2 linked regions of the Arabidopsis thaliana genome follow. The protein of the gene in region 1 binds, or shares a complex with, the protein of each later gene. Each region holds a gene or a part of one and is shown on either strand. Other genes may lie near its edges.

The links.
Region 2: CIPK23 (region 1) and CBL1 share a complex: the UniProt entries of both Arabidopsis thaliana proteins name them as parts of the K(+)-channel calcium-sensing kinase/phosphatase complex.

What each region holds. Positions count from the first base shown.
Region 1 is NC_003070.9:10,652,365-10,659,647, reverse strand, and holds CIPK23 (CBL-interacting protein kinase 23), read right to left. Parts: upstream 4,849-7,283; 5' UTR 4,379-4,848; coding exon 4,154-4,378; intron 4,063-4,153; coding exon 4,000-4,062; exon of another isoform or gene 3,861-3,999; intron 3,703-3,860; coding exon 3,631-3,702; intron 3,545-3,630; coding exon 3,437-3,544; intron 3,329-3,436; coding exon 3,248-3,328; intron 3,109-3,247; coding exon 3,055-3,108; intron 2,958-3,054; coding exon 2,832-2,957; intron 2,656-2,831; coding exon 2,566-2,655; intron 2,447-2,565; coding exon 2,327-2,446; intron 2,248-2,326; coding exon 2,122-2,247; intron 1,908-2,121; coding exon 1,791-1,907; intron 1,695-1,790; coding exon 1,638-1,694; intron 1,558-1,637; coding exon 1,483-1,557; intron 1,365-1,482; coding exon 1,283-1,364; coding exon of another isoform or gene 1,266-1,282; exon of another isoform or gene 1,177-1,265; coding exon 1,124-1,176; 3' UTR 748-1,123; downstream 1-747. UniProt on the Arabidopsis thaliana protein: CIPK serine-threonine protein kinases interact with CBL proteins. Binding of a CBL protein to the regulatory NAF domain of CIPK protein leads to activation of the kinase in a calcium-dependent manner.
Region 2 is NC_003075.7:9,814,172-9,820,185, forward strand, and holds CBL1 (calcineurin B-like protein 1), read left to right. Parts: upstream 1-2,182; 5' UTR 2,183-2,439; exon of another isoform or gene 2,440-2,575; intron 2,576-2,815; exon of another isoform or gene 2,816-2,847; 5' UTR 2,848-2,970; coding exon 2,971-3,049; intron 3,050-3,463; coding exon 3,464-3,546; exon of another isoform or gene 3,547-3,809; coding exon of another isoform or gene 3,810-3,845; coding exon 3,846-3,905; intron 3,906-4,009; coding exon 4,010-4,118; intron 4,119-4,208; coding exon 4,209-4,261; intron 4,262-4,381; coding exon 4,382-4,462; intron 4,463-4,558; coding exon 4,559-4,852; 3' UTR 4,853-5,182; downstream 5,183-6,014. Other genes in the region: AT4G17610 (tRNA/rRNA methyltransferase (SpoU) family protein), read right to left, coding at 1-108, 211-317, 405-498, 584-739; AT4G17616 (Pentatricopeptide repeat (PPR) superfamily protein), read left to right, coding at 5,437-6,014. UniProt on the Arabidopsis thaliana protein: Acts as a calcium sensor involved in the signaling pathway during growth and development and in response to abiotic stresses. May function as a positive regulator of salt and drought responses and as a negative regulator of cold response.

The sequences.
Region 1 (7,283 bases):
TATACTAAACATTTTGATAGAAAAACAATATTTTGAGGATAAAAAATACTTAATACAACTGAAAACCAAAAAAAAATGAAGAACATGCATATTCTAATTGAAAAGTGAAACATTTCTAAAACTATATATATATATATATTTCAATTAAAAAATAGACTATTTAGTTTTATTTTGAAACAATTTATACTTTATATATATATATAAAATGACCCCCATGAAGAAAAACTTTGCCTCCGCCACTAACCACGAGGACCAAACTCTTTCTCCACATCCACAACAGCCTTAGCTGTTTCTAAACCAACAGGACCAACCTCCTCCTCCACATCTACAACATCCACAACAGCCTTAGCTTCATCCAAACTGTGAGGAACAAACTCCTCATCCACATCCACATTAGTTGTTTCCAAATTATGAAGACCAACCTCCTCCTCCTCCACACTCTTAGCTACAGCCTTACCTGTTTCTTAGCAATAAACAAGAGAGTAATACAGAAGAATAACAAAACCCCTAATTGAAGAATTGGTGTTCTTGTTCACATCTTCTTCGCCCTCAATTATTAATACAGAGTAACTTGGCCACCAAGTTTTCCATCTCTAAATTTTTGTTATAGTATTTGGTCCGACATAATCTTTATTGATATTTTTCTTTCCTTGATTTTGGTTTTAAAATCTCACTAACTTCAAGTCATGCTATATATTCAGTTTGTTTTGTCTACACTGATATTGGTTTTCAGTCCGCTTTCCTTTTTCAGGTTTTAAAATTATGAAAATAAATTTCGATTTGGTTCACACACAAGTGTTAGTTTGTTTTCAGTACATTTGAACTGAAATATCTATCGAATCTCAGCGTCCGACAATATAGAAATTGCAAAACCAAATCTGTAAAGCTTTTACTTTCCGGTTAATCGATTCAAGCCAAGAACCTCGCAACACGCATATGCTATTCACAACATTCCATGGAATCAAACATGATTAAAATATCAATAATCCCCATTCCCCAATATAGTTTCAAACTGCTTCTGCTCCACTTCTTGACGCTTCCTTTTGTATTAACTTCAAAACCACTCCGTACTACTATAGTAATTTATAACGAACAAAATCTATATTAGAAAAAAGTAAACAGCTTATGTCGACTGTTTTGCAATTGTCCGGTTAGCCATGGCACCATTAGTACCACCTGAAACATGAAGAAACAAAACAGGATTTGTGTTTACATGTTTCGTTAGTTTCTCCTTTTCTAGGAGCTTTATCTAAAAAACAGAGTATTCAAGGCAGATACTTACCACCATCGGTTCCTTCCTCTTTCTCTTCGTCGATGGTTTTCCAAACAATGTCCTTAAGTCCCGTGGTAAGGTTCTTGTAAAACTAAAAGAAGAGCAAGAAAGGATGCAAAAAGGTAAAGATTCAAACATCAGTTACTGGAAGACCATTTGACAAGCTCGGGTTTGATACAACCTGATCAGCATTAATAACCCTTGCATACCTTGTGGAATTCCAATGTGTCACCCCCTGATTTTCGCATTTCAACCATGTAAAGAGATGGAGCAACTTGAAAAACCTGAAGGTAGATGTCAATTAACTTAAATTAGGTTCAGCCAACCATACAAAGGGTGATCACTGGTCATTGTGAAAGCTAACCTCAGTGGCAACTGCCAACTGACCCTTGCGGCCTGATTTCTCTCCTGTCAGCTTCATCTGAAGGAGTTGAGAAATGGTTAAAGGGTCTATTCAGAAGCAACAAACCAATACACAACTCCACAGCATTGGGTAAATACGTAACAGTATTCTAACCTTGTAGTTATTTGTCTTGACATCAAACCCCATAGGTGCTGCCGCAGCCTCAATTTTTGTAACTATCTCATTAGCCGAAGATTTGGAAGTAAATCGAGTTTTTCGTTTCACCAGCCCCTGAAATCAGAGAAGCTTATCAATCAGAATGACGACTTCTATCAAACTAAGTACGGGCTTCCAAAGAAAAGTATTGGTCACTAAAATTTTGTGGCAAAGCTACTTCTTATTAGGTTTGACCAAAACCGCAAAAAGATAGTTAAAAATTGTCAACAAAATAAGAGCCTTGGGGGACGAAATTTAAAGACCAGCTTTACGTATCAGACTTCTGTACCATTTGTTTTTCGAAAAGTGAACCGAGATTGAGACCCTGGGATGTCGAGATGAGCTCAAAAGCATTCATCGTTACTGGTGTTTTGAGTCCTTCTTCTCGCCTCTCCACAACAAGATTCTTAGACTCCTATTAACAAACAAAAACAACTGAGCAATCATCCCGGACAAAGTACCGAAAAAAACAAACAAAAGAACACTAGCCTTACCCCTGAGTCATCAAAGATTGCATCAACATCATCAAGGCTGACATCAGCATTCTCAAATTTAGGTGCTTTATACCCTTTTTTAAACCACTCATTTTCAATGACCTCAGCAAATGTAATCCTCTGCCCAATATAAAAAATCAGTGTAAGCCTTCAGATCTACTCAATCCTATAGAAGCTTTTGCCTCTTCAAAGGAGAGATCCTCTAATATAAATTATATAATAGGGTAAGAAAAATATACCGTTGCTGGATTGGGATCCAGAATTCTTTTGATTAACTTCTTAGCACTTGCAGAGAACCAGGGAGGGCAAGTAAATTCTGCTTTGAATATCTGTAATTATGAAGAAAGAAAATCAGGTGGCTTTTATGCTATATACGTCTCATACAAAAATGACAGAGGCTTTTATACAGCCACCCAAATGCACCTAGACCTTGAAGCCTTTCTGATAGCATGTAAAATGATATGTATCAAAAGAAAAGCAAAAGAAGAAGAGGCAAGCGTAATACCTTTTTATATAACGACGTCAGGTTAGAATCTTCAAAAGGTAAATAACCAGCCATTAAAACAAAGAGAATTACTCCACAAGACCACAAATCAGCCTTCGCTCCATCATAACCTTTGTTGTTGATTACCTAGGGAGAAAATATAGAAGGTTACTGAGACTAGAAAATAATAGAATTCAAGTTTTGAGAAAATTGTGTGTCAGTTTTCAGTAGCAGTTGCTAATACCTCCGGAGCAACATAATTGGGTGTTCCACAGGTTGTGTGAAGTAACCCATCCTCCTAAAGAAAAAGGGTCACAAAATCAGCTTTTGAATAAATCATGGAAATCTTTCTCCTTAGAAGCCATAGTAGCTGAATTATCGAACTATGATATTTACAATGAAATGATAGAAAAAGAAATCAATATCTCGATGCTCACTCGAACTTGCTGAGGTAGAGCGCTCAATCCAAAGTCAGACACTTTCAAAGCACCATTAGCATCCAAAAGCAAATTTTCTGGCTGCAACCAGAATGTGCAACATGATTCAAACACATCAAACTTTTATTCTGATGCCAATTGATTCACAAGAAACCCTATGCAAGAGGATCACAAAGTAAGATTCCTAACCTTAAGGTCTCTATGATAAACTCCCCTGCTATGACAATAATCAACCGCATTAATCAGCTGTTGGAAATACTTCCTCGCCTCATCTTCCTTCAATCTCCCATTGCTTGACTAATACATGACAATTCTAAAGAATTAAGATCTCATTTCCACATAGTATTAAGAAAAAAAAAACACATCTTTCAATGAAATCTTACAATTTTATCGAAAAGCTCCCCACCAGTGACGAATTCCAAAACGAAGTAGATCTTAGTTTTGCTAGCCATCACCTGAAGAAGAAGAAGAAGAAGAAGAAGAAGAAGAAGAAGAAGAAGAAGAAGAAGAAGAAGAAGAAGAAGAAGAAGAAGAAGAAGAAGAAGAAGAGAATCTGTAACTACAAAGATACCAAAAAAATACATAGAATAATCAAATCCCTTATATTACATACATATGATTAGCCAGGGACCACAAATATGTTCCATAACTTCAAACGAATCTCAGCTTATAGCACAAATCTATAGAACAACAACAACAACCAAAACGTGCAACACAACTTTGAATTCAGCTTTATAGTATCAGAATCAAACCTCAAACATACGAATGACATTCGGGTGCTTGATCAATTTCATCGTCGAAATCTCACGCTTGATCTACAAAATCCAAAATCAAAGGTTATATCACAACTGCGTAAATCAGATTCCCAATAAGAACACAGCAGCTGGAGAATTGTATAATACATACCTGAGCGATCATCTTATTTTTCAGAACTTTCTCTTTATCAATAACCTTAATAGCGACATTATCACCATTCTCAACATTTCTAGCGAATTTGACCTTAGCGAAAGTTCCTTCACCCAAAGTTCGTCCAAGCTCATACTTACCAACTCGTGTCCTACCACCAGAAGAACTACCAGAAGGCGTTGATCGTGAAGGAGTCGATCGTGAAGGCGTTGTTCGAGAAGCCATCTCTCTCTCTATATATATATCTCGGTCTCTTATATATATATAGATAGATCTCTATTGAATCAGGAGGAGGACCTCTTCTTCTTGCATGGCTGCCATACTTGGGATTTCGCAACGCTCATCGTGAGAGATCTGCAGAAGAATTAAAACCCTAAGGGACCGGAGACCATATAAACAGCCGAAAATCAAAATTCAACTCTCGTGTGCGGAGAAAATTCAATTTGGACGAAGAAGAAGACTCATGAAGACGAGATTTGTATTTGAAGTGAAATTTTGTCAGTAGGGAAAATTCTGGGAATCGTAAATTTCGGCTGCTTTAGAAAAATCGAAGCCGGTTCTGGGAAAAAGCGAGTAACAGCAAGCGAGAGAGAGAGAGATTGTGATTCGATGGTGGAAGGAATTTAAAAGTTAAATTAAGAAGTAAATTAGTTAAGGAAATGTTTAATTAAAATTCTGTTTAGGGATTATACGAGGAAGGTTGTATCTGTAGGTTCTGACGTATACTATAGTTTACATTTTAAATTATTCTAGGCTTATCTTAGTCTTTGATAATTTAAATGCAAACGTTATGGACTTATGGTGATTACAGAAAATTATGTCATCCTTTTTTATCAAATATAAATAAAAGTAAATATTTTACTTTTTTACATGCCGTGTAATTAGCTGTCATAATTTTTTAAAACAAAATTTCGAAAAAGAAAATAAAAAATATGATATTTTCTCCAACCGAATAATCAACGATTTCAAAAGAGTTAAAGAACGACAGTAAAGAATTTATAAATTTTTCTTTATCTTTAATTTCTCGTAAAAATAAAAACAGATAAATTAGTACAAAAAAATTCTTACCTAACTTAAATAATATTCTCGAAATTGCTCAATTAAATTCTAATTAATATTAATTATTAAAATATATATATATATATATATATATATATATATGCAAACTTTTAATAAAAATATTGAACTAAGTCCACCACTTATCCAATTAGCTGCCATCACTTATCCAAGTATCTTTTTATACTCCGAGATTCCAAACATGTGTACTTATAAGATTTATAAAACGTAAGAGGATCTTTTATTTACTCTAATAAATACTATTGATTAGATTTGAAACGTCCAATTGAACTTTTGATGTTATGGAAAAGCCGTTACCAGTATCAAGGAGCTACGTGCCCTTTTCAATACTAAATGTTTCACAAAAGGGGCACTTAATGATACAAACCATTAAACATTAAATTTTCGATGGTTCGATCAAATGTTTAGAATCTTCTGTCTAGATTATATATGTGTTTGTGTTTCTATAAGAAATAATGCTCTATTATAAATACAGTATACAGTTATCAACCTAACTAGTTATACTTGTTTTTTCAACCCAAAATAGTTTAAACCTAGTTTCTGATTTTTATGGTGCTCATCAAAGAGAATGTTATCTAATAATCATCGTATTAGCATAAAACAATAGAACCAAATCATTGGTGGGCAAATGTACATACACATGACCTTGCCACGTTTTCTTGAAAGGGTTTGACTTTACAATTGATAGCCCATGAGGCCATGACCATCATGATGCATATTTTTAAAAATAAAAGTTATCTGATTCATATATATTCATACTCGTTTAGTCGTTGAATGTAAATTCTCAAATCTTTTCATCATAATTTTCTTCAGTTGATGATCATTGCAGATGCTTTAGATTGAAAATTATATTTAATCTCTTAAAAACCCTAATGTGTAAATAATGACTTTCTTATCAAGAAAGTATATTCCCGGTCAGTCATTATAATATTTGACCTCGGAAATAAAAATAAACCGACCCACGAGTTCGTGTTTGTGATCAGAAAACTAAATTAACGGAAGTTAACAGAAACAATCATGTTCGAGTGTCTGTTGGAGGCAACCAAGACATTATTATTTGCTTAATTAAAATGATTTTACAAAGCGTACAATATCTCTTTCTAACCTAATAATACCAAAACTAAACCCTTTAACAAAAAGAACATAACACCAAAATTCAATTCTAATAAGAATCAAACAATAATAATCTTTTTAATCGGTCGAGTTAACTGTACTTGAGACATATAGTCACAATTATTTTAAATCTATGTTTGATTATTTTATACGTAAATATATTTAAAAGTTCATCATTAGTAATTAAATTTTGAACTTTAACGGTAAAAGAAAAAAAAAATAACGTAAAATAACGTTGTATTATCTGTATATTTGTCATATATGACTACATTTATTTCAGACATAGTATAAACTTGGTTGATGTTTCTCTTGTGATTAAAACATATATTTCAGTGAGAACATATACTCGCCAGGTTTCTCGGATGATAACTAATATCCCTTTATTATTTTAAGGGAAGTACAAATTGAAAGTTTGTTTAATTTGGCCTCAATTTTGATTTCAATTTTGGATTTTGTTCTCTGATATTCAAAATCATTAAGGGTAATTTGGTATTAACAACCTCCTAAACTTTATATGATCCGATTCAATCTAAACCGTTCAATAAAATTAATTCACTTCAATATAAACCATTCAACAAAAGTAAGGAATTTATGTCGTTTTTAAAATCAAAATATGATCACATTTCATCCCTAAAAATACTATATTCAATCACGAAATCAATAATCAATAATATCCAAATAATATATTACGATTTTTCACTAATCACTAGAAATTTATATTTATAAGTTTAGGATATCAAATTTATTCCAATATTTTGTATAAAAACCAAATAAACCGATTGTTCACGGTAAACCGCGGGTTAAAACCTAGTTATGTTTAAAATGTTAATCACTATTTGAAAGTAGAATTGAACTAATGATCTTGGAAATCTACTATAAATACCATTAGACCATCATCAGTTTGGTTTTATAGTTTATATGTTACTCTTGCTACAAATAT
Region 2 (6,014 bases), on another chromosome or scaffold:
CATTCCCATCGAAAAACCAACTGATCTTAGTAAAAATGGCACCAAGCTCACTCCCAACATATCCAATACATTAGTCTCGATCACTACATCAAAGAACGATTCTACAATCTGGTACAATCAAACAAAGAAACCAAAAGAAACAACAAAATGATCAACAATCTCAAGGAGATCAAAACTCTAAGGACTATAGTCAACAGCAGAAATTTCTACCTTATTAAGCATATCCAAATCATATGCACGAACCATCTTCATCAATGGAATAAACACTCTCCACACAAATAGCTGCAACGCATTATGATTATCCGCAGCAACAAAGCCTGCTTCAACCTCATAACCATCAATTAAACAATTCTGTAATCACTAACACATCATACATATCTAAAAATTCAAAATTGGTAACTCACCAAAATTCTTTAGTAGATGACAAAGCCCAGCCACCAATGAAGCTATGTGGTTGCAATCATCAGAATCAAATCTCTTGTCCCCATTTACCGTATCCTATTCAAAAACATGTTCAAATCTTAAATTGAACAATCCGAAGCAAATTGCCGAAGTGTGAAACAATAAACCAATCAATCAATACCTCTAAACGAAAAGGGAATTGCTCAATGAGAGATTCGAAAAGAGTTGAAGGAGATACGCCTGTGGAGCTTAAAACACAGTCAAGGAAAGCAGGAATAGCTGCTGGTGGAACTTGCTTGAAGCTCAGTGACAATGAAGTAATCACTGACGAACCCATTTCAATTGAAGCTTCGAACTTCAAAAAAATTGGCTGCAAGCAGCCAGAATAGATGAAGAAACGTAAACGAATTTGAAATTAGTACAGAGGGAAGTGTTACGAGGAATCTCTCTGTTAAACCCTTTCAAATAATTTTCATGGCTTAGGACAGATAAACCCTAGTCGTATAATTAGGGGGGAAATTAGAATTATTGATAAGGGCTTTCTTGGGCTTAACTTAGTATGATTGGGCCGTATGGGATAGACTTCAGGAGAAGAAAAAAAAAAAAAAACCGGAAATTGTTCGGGGGATTGAACCCGACGTGAATCGAACACGCAACCTTCTGATCTGGAGTCAGACGCGCTACCATTGCGCCACGGATCCGGATGTTATTATGTTGCATTTATAAAATTATAATACCGTAGTATACGCAAATTAAACAAAACATTTTGAGGACGCGTTCCCAACACGGCCGGTGACCAAAGAGTCAATTTAAGCCCGCTTTAAAGATATCAAAATGATATAAAACTCTAATTGATCGAGTTAACGGCAGGAGAATCAAAGCTACTAATCATAATCAAGAAATTTAATATATATACGCTATTATTATTGTTTTGAACGATAAACACGTGGTCTGGTCGTGATTAAGGTCCTAATTATGTCAACGTTTGCCTGCCACATTGCAGACCGAAGTACTAATTCCACACCGACTGGTCTACGACATATTTAATTCATAAACACAATACTTTATAATTAAATTGATTCTTGTAGAGATTTGGCTTCATGATCTGATTTATTTAGTTAATAACCATTTCAACAGATAATTACAGTTTAGAGCCTTTTTCCAGTTGTCAAGAGTGTTATGGTTTTAAAATGGCACCCTGTAAATATCACATATGTTAGTGGATTTATTTTACCAAAGAAACAAAAAATGTTAATGGATTAAAAAACTTGTGTTTTTTTAGATAGCAAAACCAAAAGAAGATATGGTGACCACTAACACGATCAGTCGAAGACAAATGTTTCCCAGACTTTATTATTGGCGTTTCCATTTTGCATATTAGTCAAATTATGGAGCATCGCAAATATCTAATAAACTAACTATATAAAAAGTTATTATAATACAGGGTTACCAATTCCGTATATTCAGAATATTCCTAAGAGGTGCCATTTTGACTAATAAAATGGACGGATCTTTGATTTATTCCGGAAGTGAATGGATATTAGAAGAAACAAAAGAAATTTTGAATTTCTTGTCCAAAAAATATTTTTCCCATTCTTAGTATACAGAAACATAGAAAATATCGTGTATGCTTACGTAACAATCAAGTTGTAAAAAGAAAAAAAGACAGAAGATAAATAGTACAGAATGAACATAACAGAAATCAATCTATGGAATTAGGTACAATTAGGTTCGGTCTAACTGAAATTACATGACGACAGAAAAAACTGAACTAAACGCCGATTCTATTAACTTCCAAAACTGACTCGTCTCACACGCGCTTACTATGATTCACACGTGCGAATATGCCATCATATAAGCGCTACTAAAATTCATTCCAAAGGAAAAAGAAAAATAAATAATCGATCTCAACCGTCCGATCATCCATCTTGCCATCACCGTTCACCAATCTTCTTCGTCTCCTCTCTCTTTCTCTCTTTTTGCTGTTTCTAGCTCCTCTCTCTCTGGATCTCGCCGGCGAACCGTTTCTCTTGGGTGGTGAGTGTTGCTTCTTATTTTTAAGAATCTTTTTCTTTTATTTCCATCGAATTTCGTTTTTTTGAGTTTGATTTTTGGCCTGTGGAATTCTCGATGTTTCTACATTGATCGTCTGGTTTCGAATCGTGTTTTACTGGTACAATTTTGATTCCATCTCCGTATCTTATGGATTCGAAGAACTTTGTGTTTTTTTTTTCTTTCTTCATTGATGCTACTTTGCTAGGGTTTACACTTTTTTCTTCCATGGTAAAAAAATTTGAGCAAAGTTGTTGAGATTCTTCTAGACTGTTTTCAATTTTACGTTTCACAAAGATTTTTTTAGATGATTTGTTTCTAATGAAATGGCATTGTTTGTGTTCTGTTTCCATATGTGTAGATTTTGAAAATATGTTTGTGATGATTGTGCAGTAAACAGTAGCAATCAAGCTATAGAATCTCAGATATCGCTGAATTAGCTGTTGGATTTTATCCGCCTTTTCTTCGTTATCCGGGGCTCGGGTATAAGGTTTCATCGTCTTATTTCATCTGTAAATGGGCTGCTTCCACTCAAAGGCAGCAAAAGAATTTCGAGGACACGAAGACCCTGTTAAGCTTGCCTCTGAGACAGCTTGTAAGTTTACTCGCGCTATAAGTTTAAACCTCCTCTAGATTCATTTCTCTCAAAGCTGCATGTTCATTTGTTTTCTGATATGAGATGAGAATCATCAGTTAGATTCAAATCATTCTTTCTCTGTTCACTGATTTAGTTTATCTCCGGTTTGGATTTTTTTAGTTTTGTGTTTTGGAGTCTTTGTCTGCCTAACAATTTCTAGTAATGATCCTTCAAAGTTGGTTAACACTCTATCTCATGTTTCTTGTTACCAATACCATCACCTTAATCTTGTTCCTTAACTTGTCAAGACGAGTTCTCTCTCCATGCAAATTCTAAATGTGAATTATTAGTCTCTTTGTTTGTTTGTTTGTTTGTTCCTGGTAATTCTTTGTTTTGATCTCGTAGTGTTGCTTGTTTTTTTCTCTTTTCCAGTTAGTGTGAGTGAGGTTGAAGCATTATTTGAGCTATTCAAGAGCATAAGCAGTTCGGTTGTTGATGATGGTCTGATTAACAAGGTACAAAGTTTGTTTCTTTTGACCCAATTTGGATCTTTTCATGACCCCATCGTTGTATCTTTTTGTTCTTTACGCTATTCATCTACAGTATTTTTCAACTTAGTTGACTTTATTTGAGCAATAATTATTCTTCCATGACGATATGTCTGTTCCATATTGCATCGATTCAATGTATCGTAGCCCTTAATGTTTGACTTGAACTTAACTTATTTTATTGATTGCTTTGATTTTGAATTTTGAAGCCTTCATGGCCCACCTTGTTTATGTTGTTTTTTAATCCTGGCTTCACATGTATGCAGGAGGAGTTTCAACTTGCTTTGTTCAAAAGCCGGAAGAGGGAGAATATATTTGCTAATAGGGTAAAATCTTAATTCTTCAGGCTTTTACAAGATTCATCTTCTGGAAGAGTGATCTAAACCAAGATAATATGTCCATTATCCTAAACAATATTGCTTTTCCGCAGATATTTGATATGTTTGATGTTAAACGAAAAGGAGTCATCGATTTCGGGGACTTTGTAAGATCACTCAATGTTTTCCACCCCAATGCTTCTCTAGAAGACAAAATAGATTGTAAGTTGACATAAGATAGTTTCATATATAGGTGTTTATTGAAGCTTTTGTGAAGAGATTTATTGATTCTGGTCTGCCATTTTTTCTCAGTTACGTTTAGGCTTTACGACATGGACTGCACGGGTTACATTGAACGACAAGAGGTAATACTAACTTGCAAGCTTTGAATACTAGTCATGATAGATCTTTGCCATGTTCTTGAGTATTCATCTTTTACTTAATAACTTTGCAAGAAATCGTTAATGAATGTGATATATTTGCAGGTCAAGCAAATGTTGATCGCGCTTCTCTGCGAATCTGAAATGAAACTGGCTGATGAAACCATAGAGATAATACTCGATAAGGTTTGTTGTTGTCTAAGGCTTTATTTTTCTAGATGGTATACATTTAGAGATGATGTTCTTAATGTGGTTTCCTTCGTCCTTCTCATATATGAACAGACATTTGAAGATGCAGACGTGAATCAAGATGGAAAAATTGATAAATTAGAGTGGAGTGATTTCGTAAACAAAAATCCATCATTGCTTAAGATCATGACTCTTCCATATCTCAGGTATATTACAAATTGCCTTTTATGGAAACCAAAGAAAACTGAAAAATGCCAAATGAAATGTCATATTAACTTGTACATAAACAATGCAGGGATATTACGACAACGTTTCCGAGTTTTGTCTTCCATTCGGAGGTCGATGAGATTGCCACATGAAGAAACAAACTGGTTTAAGACCGAGTAGATTGCCACGAGTTGGAAGAACAAGTCTGAGCTAATCGGTGTAATCAACATCTGTTTGTAAACAGTAGTAGAGCATATTCTCTTGAAATTGTTTGGGTTACTTTTTTCTTCTCACAACAGTTTAAAATTTTGGGTTTTTAGCTTACAAAAAAAAAAAAAGAAGAAGCGCGTAATCACCAATCCTTCACTTCATATAGTTAGGAAATGTTAATGAGTTTGTACATATTACATCATACGTTTGTTGTAATTGTTTTTTTTCAAGTAAAAAAGTAAAGATTTGTTACGTTTACTCGGGGTTCTAATTGTTCCAATGGAATCTTATACTGCAAAAACGTGAATTTGAGATTTTGTTGGGTCCTTAACCGCAAAAGCGAAAGTACGAATGTCCTAGGACCCGACCCGATGAAATTTACAGTCTTGCCACTCTTCTCTTGTTACAGTGTTCCTCTCTTCTCTCTCGATTTCGAAGTTTCCAGCAATTTAGGGTTCTTTCTCGATTGGAGAATTCGTATGTTGTTATCATGTTCTCGTCATTGTTGTGCTTTCTTTGTTAAATTCTAGATTTGGAATCGAAATTCTAGACTAATGTTTAGGAAACGGAACTTAGTTCTAGAATCATTTCGTCGATTCGATAGCGGTAACGTAGAAACCCTAATTTCATGGGTCTTGTGTAGTCGCACCTCAAAGCCGTCTCTGTTCTGTACTAGTGTTAAACCTGCTAGATTAAACTGGGAAGTTTCTTCTCAAGTAATTCTCAAGAAGAAGCTAGAAACAGCTCTTAAAGATCACCGTGTAGATGATGCTTGGGACGTGTTTAAAGATTTCAAACGCCTCTATGGATTTCCAGAGAGTGTAATCATGAACAGATTTGTTACTGTGTTGTCTTACTCGTCTGATGCTGGTTGGCTTTGTAAGGCTAGTGATCTTACTCGTTTGGCTTTGAAGCAAAATCCAGGTATGTTAAGTGGCGATGTGTTAACAAAGTTGTCGTTGTCTCTAGCGAGAGCTCAGATGGTTGAATCTGCTTGTAGTATCCTTCGAATAATGCTGGAGAAGGGATATGTTCTAACCTCAGATGTATTGAGGCTTGTTGTGATGCATATGGTGAAAACAGAGATTGGGACTTGCTTAGCTTCGAATTATTTGGTTCAGGTTTGTGATCG